Mus musculus: one gene and its partners. The protein of the gene in region 1 binds, or shares a complex with, the protein of each later gene. Links are inferred from orthologs where the notes say so. Each region holds a gene or a part of one and is shown on either strand. Other genes may lie near its edges.

Region 1 (3,537 bases):
AGTCTGTGTTTCAGGTCTACACTGTAGCTGAAAGGGTTCTTGATGCGAAAAATCAGAACTGAAATACTGACATAGAATAAAGGAGACTATGACAGTCTCCACAGGACCAGGATGTTACCGCCACCCCTTCAATGTGTGGTAGTCACCTCTGAGACCTGTCAAGACCAACATCCAGGACACATCCCCACTCTGAAGAGAGAACTACCTCTGACCTGATGCTTTCCTCAGAGACCTAAGAGTGACAGACTTCTTTAGAAATCGTTAGGGTAGCACAGGAGACTGGTGTCCTCAGTGGGAGAACTGCCTGATGACAAAGACTTAGATGCATGGCAGCAGGTTCACACAGTCACCTTGTAGACACTGTCTCATTACACTTGCTAGTACAGAGAATTTCCTCTGCAAGGTGAGGAAGCTGTCACTTGACGCCACATCTAACACTCTCCACATTAGCACCCACCTCGGTGTCAGGCTGCCACCGTTCTGAAGCCTTCTGCAGTTTCAGCTTGGCCCACACTGCAGGATGGGAGATAAGCAGTCATTAGGGCCCACAGTCCACTTGTGCAGTGTTACGTCATTCTCACCCTCACCGCCCAGCTCCCTGAAGGTTCCTTTAATGACTGCCAGCCCCCAAATGGAATTCTGATCTAGAACTACCTGTAGATAAAACTTTTATTGAGAAATTTATCATGATTTCACCTTGCTGTAAAAGAAAATCTCATGAAATCAGGGTGATGTACACACCTGTAACCTCAGCATTTGGGAGACAGAGGAAGAAGGATCAGGAAGCTTAAAGCTAGCCTTGGCTACATAGTGAGATTGAGGCCAGTTTGTGCTAAATGAATATCCCTGCCTCAAAAACAAAACAAACGATTACAACAGTAAAAAGGAAACACTCTCAAAAGAAGCAGTGTGGAGCAGTCTGGAGAAACTTGGATAAAATGAACAGGATCATAGCTTAGAAGGCATCACACATGCGTCCTGCTTAGGGTTTGGTTTTGTCTTGTTTTTTTTTGTTTTTGTTTTTCGAGACAGGGTTTCTCTGTGTAGCTCTGGCTGTCCTGGAACTTACTCTGTAGACCAGGCTGGCCTTGAACTCAGAAATCCGCCTGCCTCTGCCTCCCAAGTGCTGGGATTAACCGCCCAGCTTGTTTTGTTTTTTGAGACAGGGTTTCTCTATGTAGTCCTGGTTGTCCTCGAGCTCAGGCTATCCTGGAACTCAGAGATCTTGTCTCTGTCACCTGAGATCTGGGATTAAAGGAGTTGTTTCCATGCTCAGCCTCTGTCCTGGTTAGTTTGGAACGTCAAGTGAGAAAATACCCCATCAGATTTTCAGTATTGCACTTTCTTTTTTTATTTTTCCTTCTTCTTCGAGACAGGGTTTCTCAGTATAGCCCTGGCTGTCCTAGAACTCACTCTGTAGACCAGGTTGGCCTCGAACTCAGAAATCCGCCTGCCTCTGCCTCCTGAGTGCTGGGATTAAATGCGTGCACCACCTTGCCCGGCTGTGCTGCACTTTGATTACTGACTGACACGGGATGGCTCAGCTCACTGTGGGTGCTGCCACACCCCTGGGCAGGTGGTTCTGCAAGTTTTAAGAAAGTAAGATGAGCCGGGCGTGGTGGCACACACCTTTAATCCCAGCACTTGGGAGGCAGAGGCAGTCGGATTTCTGAGTTTGAGGCCAGCCTTGTCTACTGAGTGAGTTCCAGGACAGGCAAGCTACATTGTGAGACTCTGTCTAGAACAAAACCAAACCAAACCAAACCCATCAATAAATAAAACCAACTGTCTGGCTCACATGAAGTGAAACTTAACAGAGATGGATGAGAAGGAGCCTGCAGTAAGGATGAGAAGGAGCCTGTAGTAAGGTGTCAGTAGCAGAGGCTGCCAGGCAAGGTGAAGCACCTGGCACACATTCCCCTGCCGTACCCCACCCCACCCCCGGCCCTTCCTCCAATGAGTACGTCGCTGCTGTCACTCTCTGAGGAATCTGAGCATGGAGCCACTTCTGTTTCCTTCTGGATCAGTGGTTCTGAACACATTAAAGTCTCTTCAGAAGAGTAACAAATAACTCTCTCAGAATGCTCCAGAGAGGAAAGCTCATAGATTCAGGCTAAAGACCCTGTTCTAACCTCAGCATAGGGTTCTTTTCAAGGAGATATAATCAGTACTGTTGACTTGCTCGCTCCCATAAAAAATGCAGTAATTATATGTGTGCCTTAGCTTTCTATAGCCACAACCCCTGCTCTTGGGCCTGGAGACAGCAGGGTTCTAGGACAGCTGTAGGAGCGGCTACTTGGTCTGGCTAGGGAAACAGTCGGCAAGCTTACTTACAGGAGACAGCATCTTCAATCTGTGTCACATTTGCAAAGTGGGCAGTGTTTGGGATGCCCAAACACCTCATGCCATGAGCATGACGCCACTCCTGGAGGGAAGGAGAGGGACAGCATGAAACAGGGATGGCTGAGGCAGCACCCACTTCATTCTACCATAGACCCTACCCCAGCGAAAGGCAGCACTCCTTCTGGGGTGTGTCTACACAGCGGGCTGGGACTGACACAGGCCGACACTGCCAAGCAGTGCTGCACTATCTCAGGTGGACAAACTTCAGGTTCTAGGGTTAGTGGTGTCAGAGAAGTATGCCTGGGACTCGTCACTCGGTGCTAGGCAGAAGCTGGCACAACCCAGAAACCCCTGCGGGGCCGTGAGGGCAGACTGGCATTTCTGGAGGCTCAGGAGCAAACTGCTGAGCAGGTATGGAGGATGGAGGAGCAGGGAGAGCGAGATGAATCCACAGCTTCAGGTCTTAGAGAAAGCTAGCACAGGCTTAACCCTGGACACTAACCCCACCCAGCTAAGAAAAGTTCAGAGGCCACTCAGGGACCCAGAGAAAGGACCTGGGAGCAGCTGGTAACAGGTCTGAGAGGGAAGCTCACATCACTTGCCATGTTTGTCTAATACGGAATGTCTTTTCCATTATGTAACTGCCCTCCAAAAGTGAAGGGCAGAATGCAGCAAGGGTGAGCCCACCGACGAGGTGGTACTCAGACTCTACTCGTGTCAACAACAGGTTGGTAAATATCAAAGCTTAGTTTACTTCTTCTGCAAAGAAGCAAGGGCCCATTTAAAACTTGAAAAAATCAAAACCTGCCCAGCCCCCTTAAATAACAATGCAGAGAAATGACCAAAAGCCAGAAATGATCCAAGATGCTGCAGAAAAACAGGAGGGAAAGGTACAAGGACGAGCATGGGAAAGCCAAACCCACGTTCCACAGCAGAGTGGCAGCAGCTCCAGAGAGCAGCCCAGGCTTCGGGGCTACAGCCGCCAACCCAGCCTCTGATGCCTTTCAGCTCTGGACACCAATGGCCCTCACAGGCTGCTCCCGTCCTCTTCTCTTTCTAAAGTGGTGTGTTTCTACTTAGTTCCCAAGAACAGTGGCTTTCAACTCCTTACCGCAAAGTGCCGCTGGAAGGCCTTGGGCCCTCGGTAGGTGTAGTTCCCACAGATCTCACAGTTGTAGTTGATATTCAGGCCGT
Region 2 (4,116 bases), on another chromosome or scaffold:
GGATTAAAGGCGTGCGCCACCACGCCCAGCATGAAAAAATCTTATTTTTATAAAAGAGGATTCACAAGACAATTCTGGGTGATCTTTTAGTGATGTTTATCATTACTCTGGAACTCCAGGAAGTATTTAGCTTCTACAATTACCACAAATGCAGCAAATGCTCCTTTGAATCTGTTATAGAAATGATAAGCCTTCCCAGTGAGAAAGCATCCTGCACATTTGGAGGATAATAAAGGAAAAAGGTCTGGCACAGCTGGCTCTGGCTAATGCTCGGTAGGGCCAGCCTTGAATACATTTTGATAACTTAGAGACACCTTAGGCTTATTTTCTCCAAATATGAGGTTATCCTCAAATTTGTAATTTAGGTCCCAACCCTGGGTTACATTTAGTACAACTTAAACAGAGACAGAAGGCTGAAAATCTGGTCAATAGGTCACTCCTATTTGCCTGGTCATTTAGGCATCAGTTATTGCCAGAATTATTTTAAGTGCACCAGTGTTGTACTTTTTCAAATAGTTGTTACCTGGGGTCATCTTACCCATTTGGCAGAATTATGTTTCTCTCAAGAAAAGAACTGGGCTTTATTGTAGATCAGGACTTAACATTGCTTGTGACCCTATACTATTCCCTTGAGCTGCCTGTTAAGAGAAGTATTCTACCGTATCTAATGGCTGGTCAATACTGGTGAACCAACATTAACATCTTAGGCATCATAAACTTTATTTCTAACAGGCCTGGCTAGCATACTGTTTATTTTTTGGGTGTCTTGGAGGCAGTGTTCCTTTGGCTAAATTCTATTTTGTGTAATTTAATCTCTCTCTCTCTCTACTTTTTATTTTTGTTTTTTTCGAGACAGGGTTTCTCTGTGTAGCCTTGGCTGTTCTGGAACTCACTCTGTAGACCAGGCTGGCCTCGAACTCAGAATCTGCCTGCCGCTGCCTCCCAAGTGCTGGGATTAAAGGGGTGCGCCACCACTGCCAGGCTCCTTTGGTTTTATTAAAGACAGGCTTTGTCTGTACAGCCCTGGCTTCGGGAACTCTCTTTGTAGACCAGGCTGGCCTCGAACTGCCTCTTCTCTTCCGAGTGCTTGAATTAACGGCACGTTACCCACCACTGGCCGGACAGGCTACAGCCCTCTTGGGAAGTAGCCATCCTCTTCCGCGTTTAGTCTTCCCCGCGGTTTCGCTGGCTTTTTAAGGAAGCCGCCGGGAGCCCGCCCTGGCCCCGCCCACTCCCATAATGCCCCTCGCAGTCTCATATAGGTGGCAGTTGAAGTACGTGCTACAGTGCGGCGCGCGCTCCCGGGTGCGCACGCTCAGAGAGCGGCCTCTGTTTCTGGCGGCGGCGAGCGGAAGTCCTTGGGAGCGCCAGTTCCGTCTGTGTGTTCGAGTGGACAAAATGGCGAAGATCGCCAAGACTCACGAAGGTAAGCGGCCTTTCCCTTCCCACGCGCGACCTCGGCAGCCAGCCAGCCGCGGCCCTCTCTCCTGGCTTTCTGCGTCTTCGCGTGGCATCTCTGGTCTCGACCGAGGCCGCGCGGCGAGGCCTGCTCGGCTCGTCGGCGCAGGCCGCTGCCCGCGTAATGGCGTCCTCTCGCACTCCGGGACCGGCGCTTTGTTCCGCGCTGGCTGTTGGTGCTTCCGAGTTCTCTTGTTCTGACCGGAGAGCCTCGCTCGAGCGGCTTGCCCCGGGGGACTCCCGGGGAGGGAGCGGGGAGGCGGACGTGGGAGGCCGACTTTCTCGCCCCCCGGGCGCTATCGTCGGCAGTTCGTACCTGGAAAGCCCTGAATGACGGCAGCCGCTTTCGGGCCGCTCCTAACGGAGGCCGCTTCAGCGCAGGCCTGCCAATCCCAGCCTTCGCGATACAGGCATCTCCAAGGCGGCTGGATCGTGTTGTGGTGCTTGCACTAAATGATTCCGGCAGAAAATCTGGTAGTTTACTCCTTTAATCACTTGTGTCCTGGTGTTCTATCTTTTTCCCTTTGAGAGCTAGGTGTTGGAGAATCAGGAGGAAGAGAGAAGGAAAGGCAGATTTGACCAGTTGCCAAAGTTTTCTGGGTAGTCGCTTATTTTATGCTGCACAAGAGTAAACAGAGCTAGAAACATGTTGAGAAGCAACCAGATTCCATAAGGAAAGTAACCAGAGAAGACGGGAAGGAATTTGAGTCTGAGAGACAGAATCCCTGTTTCTTGGCTCCCGGTTAAGAAGCCAAAATTTACGCTGACACTAAGTCACTAAACCCGTCCTTTCTAAGTGTGTGTCTCGGTGTTAGAGAGAGGTAACAAGCTAAGGATGTCAGAAATTTGACAGTTTGATGTGGAAGCAGATGTGTGAATATTCTCTTAGAAAATCAAAGGAATGTGTACAGAGAAGTAAAGCCAGTACTTTCTGAGAAGCTGGGTAACGGAGCCATTAATTTATGCTTAGTTATTTTTGGGAGGTGGTGACGCGGCGCTGATAAAAAAGGATCAATCAGTTTTAAATTAGGGGAGGATGTCTGAGCCGGAGGGAACATCTTGTACCATGCAGTGAGTGTCGCTGTGGTAGGATAGAGGAGGGTGTAAGGAGGGAATTCCGATGCGAATCTAAAGAGATGGTTTAGGACCAATAGCTGGGACATTTGAGGAACTGAAAATACTAACACTTTTGAAAGCCAGAAATGTCCCTGCATTAACTAGTCTTTTGTCTTTAAACATGAAAGTACAACACATGTTTTTGTTTTCTTTTTTGAGATAGTCTTACTATGTAATTCCGGTTGCCCTGAAACTTCCTGAATAGAGGAGACTGGGTCCCACTTCAAAGAAACTCATCCTCCTGCCTCTGCTTCCCAAGTGCTGGGTAAAAGGCCTGTGCCTGGTTAGCCCAACACTTTTTTTAAAAAAAAAGATTTATGTGAATACACTCTGTCACTGTCTTCAGACACACCAGAAGAGGGCGTCAGATCCTATTACAGATGGTTGTGAGCCATCTGTAATTGAATTGAACTGAGGACCTCTGGAAGAGCAGTCCAGCCCCTAGCCCAACACTTTTTAAAGCCAGAAATGTTTTTGGCCTCATTATTTATCTTTAGACTACTTCAGATATTGTTTGTAAAATAATTAGGAAATTGAATCGTGTCGCTGTTTTGTTCAGTCAGTGGTAGGTTATTTATTTTAATTGTTTTCCATTGTGGGGAACCAGTGAAATTATTGGACTTCCAGAGCATGGGGGAGGGGAAGTGCTTACTGAAGGAAAGCATGGTTTACTCCTTACTGGCTTCCTTATAGCTGCATAGGTAGAGTCCCATACCCTAATAGGTTATTGATTTATGGAGATTTATGGATATTTTGTAGCTTTGATTGTTGGCTTATTGATATCTTCAATGTAGCATACTCCCAGTTGGATAAATGCAAAGTTTATTTTATGTGCATTAATATTTTTGCCTGCATGTAACGTCTGTCTGAAGGTGTCAGATTCCCTGGAATTGGATTAAAGGACAGTTGTAAGATGCCACATGGGTGCTGGGAACTGAACCTAGGTCTTCTGGAAGAGCAGCCACTGCTCTCAGCTGCAGAGCCATCTTTCTGGCCCTGGTAAATGTAAAGTTTAGGGTCCTTTCCTCTTTCCTTTCCCCTTCCCTTCCCTTCCCTTCCCCCTCCCTCCTCCTTTCCTTTCCTTTTTCATTGTAGAAGCCCAGCTAAACTTGTTTTCAAAAATTGCAATTGCTTTTTTTTTTTTTTTTTTTTTGGTTTTCGAGACAGGGTTTCTCTGTGTAGCCCTGGCTGTCCTGGAACTCACTTTGTAGACCAGGCTGGCCTCGAGCTCAGAAAATCCGCCTGCCTCTGCCTTCCGAGTGCTGAGTTTCGATTTTTTTTTTGTAAAAATTGCTATTTTATTTAGGATTATTTTATTATTGAATTAATAAAAAATATTATAGAAGTATGTCACAATTTGGTATAAGGTCCCTCAGTATAAATCTTTATTGTCTTAGTCTTTTTTTGTTGTTGTGTTGTTGCTACGTTTGTTTGTTTTGAGACAGAGTTTCTCTCTGTAGCTCTGTCCTGGAATTTGCTCTGTTTATCAGTCTGGCCTAGAACTTTTTTTTTTTTTTTTAGACAATCTCTTCATGTAGTTTC
Region 3 (4,257 bases), on another chromosome or scaffold:
TCCCCAGATGGGCTCCTCAGCTCTCACAGTCTCTGCCCTTCAGGATGAGCTTTCTCACCTTCAGGAACTGTTAAGACAATGGACACCAAGAATATCTCCCGAGGACCAGAGCAAGAAAAGAGATCCGAATACCATCCTCTCTCAGATCTGCTGAAACTGTTTGTTAGCGTCGTTCTCAGAGGCAGGGCAGGGGTCTCTGCTCATCTTCCTGTCTGACCTTGACGCCTCAGCTTTGGCATTCCAGTCTGCAGAGTTCACTTAGAAGGCCCGTTTCTGTAGCAGATGGTGGCGCTACCAACCTAAAGGTCTCCCGATTTGTTTGATTTCTGGGGCTATTTTCATTTCTTGTGATTTGAAAACTAAGAAACAAGACCAGTTCAGAATGTGATTGCCCCTTTTCCCAGGCAATTCTGTACCTTTTGGATGGCCGTCAAAACTGTGACATGAGAGACCCTTTTCATCAGTCCCAACAATGATGTCCTAGAGACCTCATTCGCAACCTCTCTACACTACTTTGAAATCTTTTCTTAGTCTTCTGTGGGAACGAGGTGAATAAGGGAGAAACCGTCTCCTCCCACTGTATATTTTCATAGCAGCGTTTCTATTTAAGGAGTTCATTAAAGCACAGTATTTCTACACATTGCTGGTATTTTCTTGTGTTGAATGAAGATCTCAGCAAAGCCGTGGGGGTGGAGGGGAGGGTGTGAACTGAGAAAAACACCCAAATTATTGTAAGGAAATAAAGGATCCAAGTCAGGCGTGGCCTGGAAGAAATACACATAAAATATGGGGGAAGGGGTCCGCACACCTTTTTTGAGACATGGTCTCTATGTGTCTATTAGGCCAGCTGGAACTCTGTTTTTTGAGACAGGTTTTCTGTGTGGCCATGGCTGTCCTGGAACTCGTTCTGTAGACCTGGCTGGCCTTTAACTCAAGAGATCCATGTCTGCTCCTTAAAGCTTCGATACCAGCCCGCAACCCAACCCGGTTTCGTGTCCCAGATTTCCCAAGATAAGCGGAGATTTGACACTTAGGGGAAAACAAAATACCTCAGGCTCAAGTCTAGGCCGAGGGCGAGTCTGCACGAGCGTCGTGGACCTCACTAAATAATAGGTCGCTCCAGAAGGCAGTCCTGGCCCTGCACTTAGGACACAACTCTGCGTCACAGAACGTACAAAGCCTGGTTTTGCACTTGAATGTGCGTTTGGGGAGCCGTGTGAGCCTCTAACAGTCTGGAAGCATCCGGGGCTTTAGTTAACTGTGTCGAGACGGGCTGAGCACATCCGTTCCGCCCCGACTACAGCAGCAGCCCTAGAGCGCCTTTCCCTTCCGAAAGACAAGACTCCGACCCCTAAGATGGCCGCGATCGCTTCCGGCTCCTCCCCCCCCCCCCGGCGCCGGCCCCGCCCAACGTGAGCCTTGGCCCGGAAGTGGAAGTTGTAACTGAGGTCAGGGGGCGGTGCTGCTGCTTAGAGACGGCGGGAGCCCCTTCGCCATGGCTGCCGGACCGATCTCCGAACGGAATCAGGGTAATTGGGAGAGAAGAGCCCAAGATAGGAGCAGGGAAGTGGAGGGAAGATTAGTGCCGGAAGCGTTCCCCCTGGGGTGGTAGACGAGATCCCCCCCGGTGGGACACCGACCTCTGGGCACCTGGCTGGCCGCGAGGCCGGGTGCAGGCCGAGGCCTGTGAGAAGCGATGCTTCTAGATCAGCTCCCTCCACCAAGAAGACAAAAGCCTCCCGGGAGTACCGGACCAGCAAGAATGCCAAATTAGACGTAGCAGATTTTCTAGATGATGGTGGCAGAGGGAATTTCAGGGCTTTAGGCGACGGTTTTTGGTTTTTGTCTTCTTTTTCACTGCCGACTCCTCATCGCCTGCTTCTTCCCTTTAGATGCCACGGTGTACGTGGGCGGTCTGGACGAGAAAGTGAGTGAGCCGCTGCTGTGGGAGCTCTTTCTCCAGGCAGGGCCAGTGGTCAACACCCACATGCCCAAGGACAGAGTCACTGGCCAGCACCAGGGTGAGTAGGGTACGGGGCAGGAATCAGCCCTGGAGAGGGTTAACCGGCCCCGAAGAGGCTCAGCCGCTAGGCACAGCGCCTTTGGAATGAGCAACCTAAAGATTGCTTTCTCCTTCAGCTTCAATTCCCAGTTTCTGGAATATTTTCTCTTAGCTCTAGTTTCTGGAACCATTCTCAACCATTCTCTGTGTAGTCCTGGCTGTCCTAGATCTTGCTCTGTAGACCAGGCTGGTCACGATCTTTGAGCTCCACCTGCCTCTGCTACGAAGTGGTGGCATTAAAAGCACGTGCACGTGCAGTCGCCCAGCTATTATCTATTATGTTCTTTGTGTTTGAAGGCTGGGGAGTTAATGTTTCATTTTGAGTCTCTTCCCCTGAATGATGGGTTTTTTTTGTTTGTTTGTTTTTTGTTTTGTTTTGTTTTTTTCATTGATTCCCCAGGCTATGGCTTTGTTGAATTCCTGAGCGAGGAAGATGCCGACTATGCCATTAAGATTATGAACATGATCAAACTCTATGGAAAGCCAATACGGGTGAACAAGGCCTCAGCTCACAACAAAAACCTGGATGTGGGAGCCAACATTTTCATTGGAAATCTGGACCCAGAAATTGATGAAAAGCTGCTTTACGATACTTTCAGCGCCTTTGGAGTCATCCTACAGACCCCCAAGATCATGCGGGACCCTGACACAGGCAACTCCAAGGGTTACGCCTTCATTAATTTTGCCTCCTTCGATGCTTCGGATGCAGCAATTGAGGCCATGAACGGGCAGTACCTGTGTAACCGTCCTATCACTGTGTCTTATGCCTTCAAGAAGGACTCTAAGGGTGAACGCCATGGCTCAGCAGCTGAAAGACTCCTGGCAGCCCAGAACCCGCTGTCCCAGGCTGACCGCCCTCACCAGCTGTTTGCCGATGCACCCCCTCCGCCCTCTGCCCCCAATCCCGTGGTTTCATCCCTGGGTTCTGGGCTTCCTCCACCAGGTACAGCTTGGAGTTCAGACTGTGCCAGTGAGGCTCTTGGGAGGGAGGCTCAGGAGGCAGAAGCAGCCCTGGTAGAGTAAGCTGCTAAGTTGTTGGGCAGTGAGACAGGAGTGAGGCGTGCTGGTGGAAGGGATGAAGTTGGCGGATGAAGTTGGCAGATGGAGTGAAGCTGAAGGGAAGCCTGCAGGGGGGAGGCTGGAGCTCTGCAAGACATTAACTGTCTTCCATTTCTTACACAGGCATGCCGCCTCCTGGCTCTTTTCCACCTCCAGTGCCACCTCCTGGGGCCCTCCCTCCTGGGATTCCCCCAGCCATGCCCCCACCACCTATGCCACCTGGGGCTGGAGGACATGGCCCCCCAGCAGCAGGGACTCCAGGGGCTGGACATCCCGGTCACGGACACTCACATCCTCACCCGTTCCCACCAGGTGGGATGCCCCATCCAGGTAAGGGCTCTGTGCTGGGAAGGAGCTGAGCTTGTGAGAGGGGCTTTCTTACTGTCTGTCCTGGTAGTCTTGGATGAAAATAGTCCAGAGTCCTCCTTTTCTTCAGAAACAGACAGTACTTTGTACGTGTTGGTGCTCCTGTTTTATCTCCAGTTCTTGTATTTCCTAAAGGATAGCTTGTACTGGGCAAAACTCTCAACCTCTCCTCTGCTTCCAAGGTTGCCAAATCTAGAAGACATTTCTGCTTTTGGCTTTTTGAGAAACGGGTTCTCTGTGTAGCTGGCAGTGTCAAACTCAGAGATCCTCTTGCCTCTGCCTCCCAAGTGCTGGGACTAAAGGCGTGCGTGTTTCTAGATTTCTCTAATGTCAACCATAGCAACCTGGATCGGCTCCTTTTTTTATGTTTGTGTAGATTTTTTGCTTGTTTCTCTTTTCTTTGTTTCTCTGTAGTGTTAAATGTGAAGGTGCTAATTTACCATTGGTCTCTGGTCTTAGGTTCTTGGCAGGCTAGAAAAGGCCACTGCTCAACCCACACTTAACTTTCCTCTTTCTGACACCATCTTCAGTAGTTCTCACTTGTAGGAGCCCAGTTTACAACTCTGGGGCTTTGTCTGTTCTGTCCTCCACTTTGCAGAGCAAGTCTAGCTTATGTTTTTGTCATTGGTCACAAGCCAGTGCTCAGACTGCACTCACTTCCTGTCACTGACTCAGGGACTCATCTACTTTCACTGAGTAACTTTTCCAGGGTATTCACAGACATTTTCTTCTTCTTTTGTTTTTTTTTTGTTTTTTTGTTTTTTGAGACA

The links. Proteins that work in one complex are often made in the same cells at the same time.
Region 2: Sf3a3 (region 1) and Sf3b1 share a complex: the UniProt entries of both Homo sapiens proteins name them as parts of the 17S U2 SnRNP complex. The link is inferred for Mus musculus from reciprocal best matches to the Homo sapiens genes SF3A3 and SF3B1.
Region 3: Sf3a3 (region 1) and Sf3b4 share a complex: the UniProt entries of both Homo sapiens proteins name them as parts of the 17S U2 SnRNP complex. The link is inferred for Mus musculus from reciprocal best matches to the Homo sapiens genes SF3A3 and SF3B4.

Annotation. Positions count from the first base shown.
Region 1 is NC_000070.6:124,728,347-124,731,883, reverse strand, and holds part of Sf3a3 (splicing factor 3A subunit 3), read right to left. Parts: coding exon 3,455-3,537; intron 2,426-3,454; coding exon 2,335-2,425; intron 514-2,334; coding exon 458-513; intron 191-457; exon of another isoform or gene 82-190; intron 1-81. UniProt on the Homo sapiens protein: Component of the 17S U2 SnRNP complex of the spliceosome, a large ribonucleoprotein complex that removes introns from transcribed pre-mRNAs.
Region 2 is NC_000067.6:55,024,649-55,028,764, reverse strand, and holds the start of Sf3b1 (splicing factor 3B subunit 1), read left to right. Parts: upstream 1-1,286; 5' UTR 1,287-1,398; coding exon 1,399-1,426; intron 1,427-4,116. UniProt on the Homo sapiens protein: Component of the 17S U2 SnRNP complex of the spliceosome, a large ribonucleoprotein complex that removes introns from transcribed pre-mRNAs.
Region 3 is NC_000069.6:96,171,079-96,175,335, forward strand, and holds the start of Sf3b4 (splicing factor 3B subunit 4), read left to right. Parts: upstream 1-1,427; 5' UTR 1,428-1,495; coding exon 1,496-1,529; intron 1,530-1,892; coding exon 1,893-2,021; intron 2,022-2,462; coding exon 2,463-3,005; intron 3,006-3,244; coding exon 3,245-3,451; intron 3,452-4,257. Other genes in the region: Mtmr11 (myotubularin-related protein 11), read left to right, coding at 8-154. UniProt on the Homo sapiens protein: Component of the 17S U2 SnRNP complex of the spliceosome, a large ribonucleoprotein complex that removes introns from transcribed pre-mRNAs.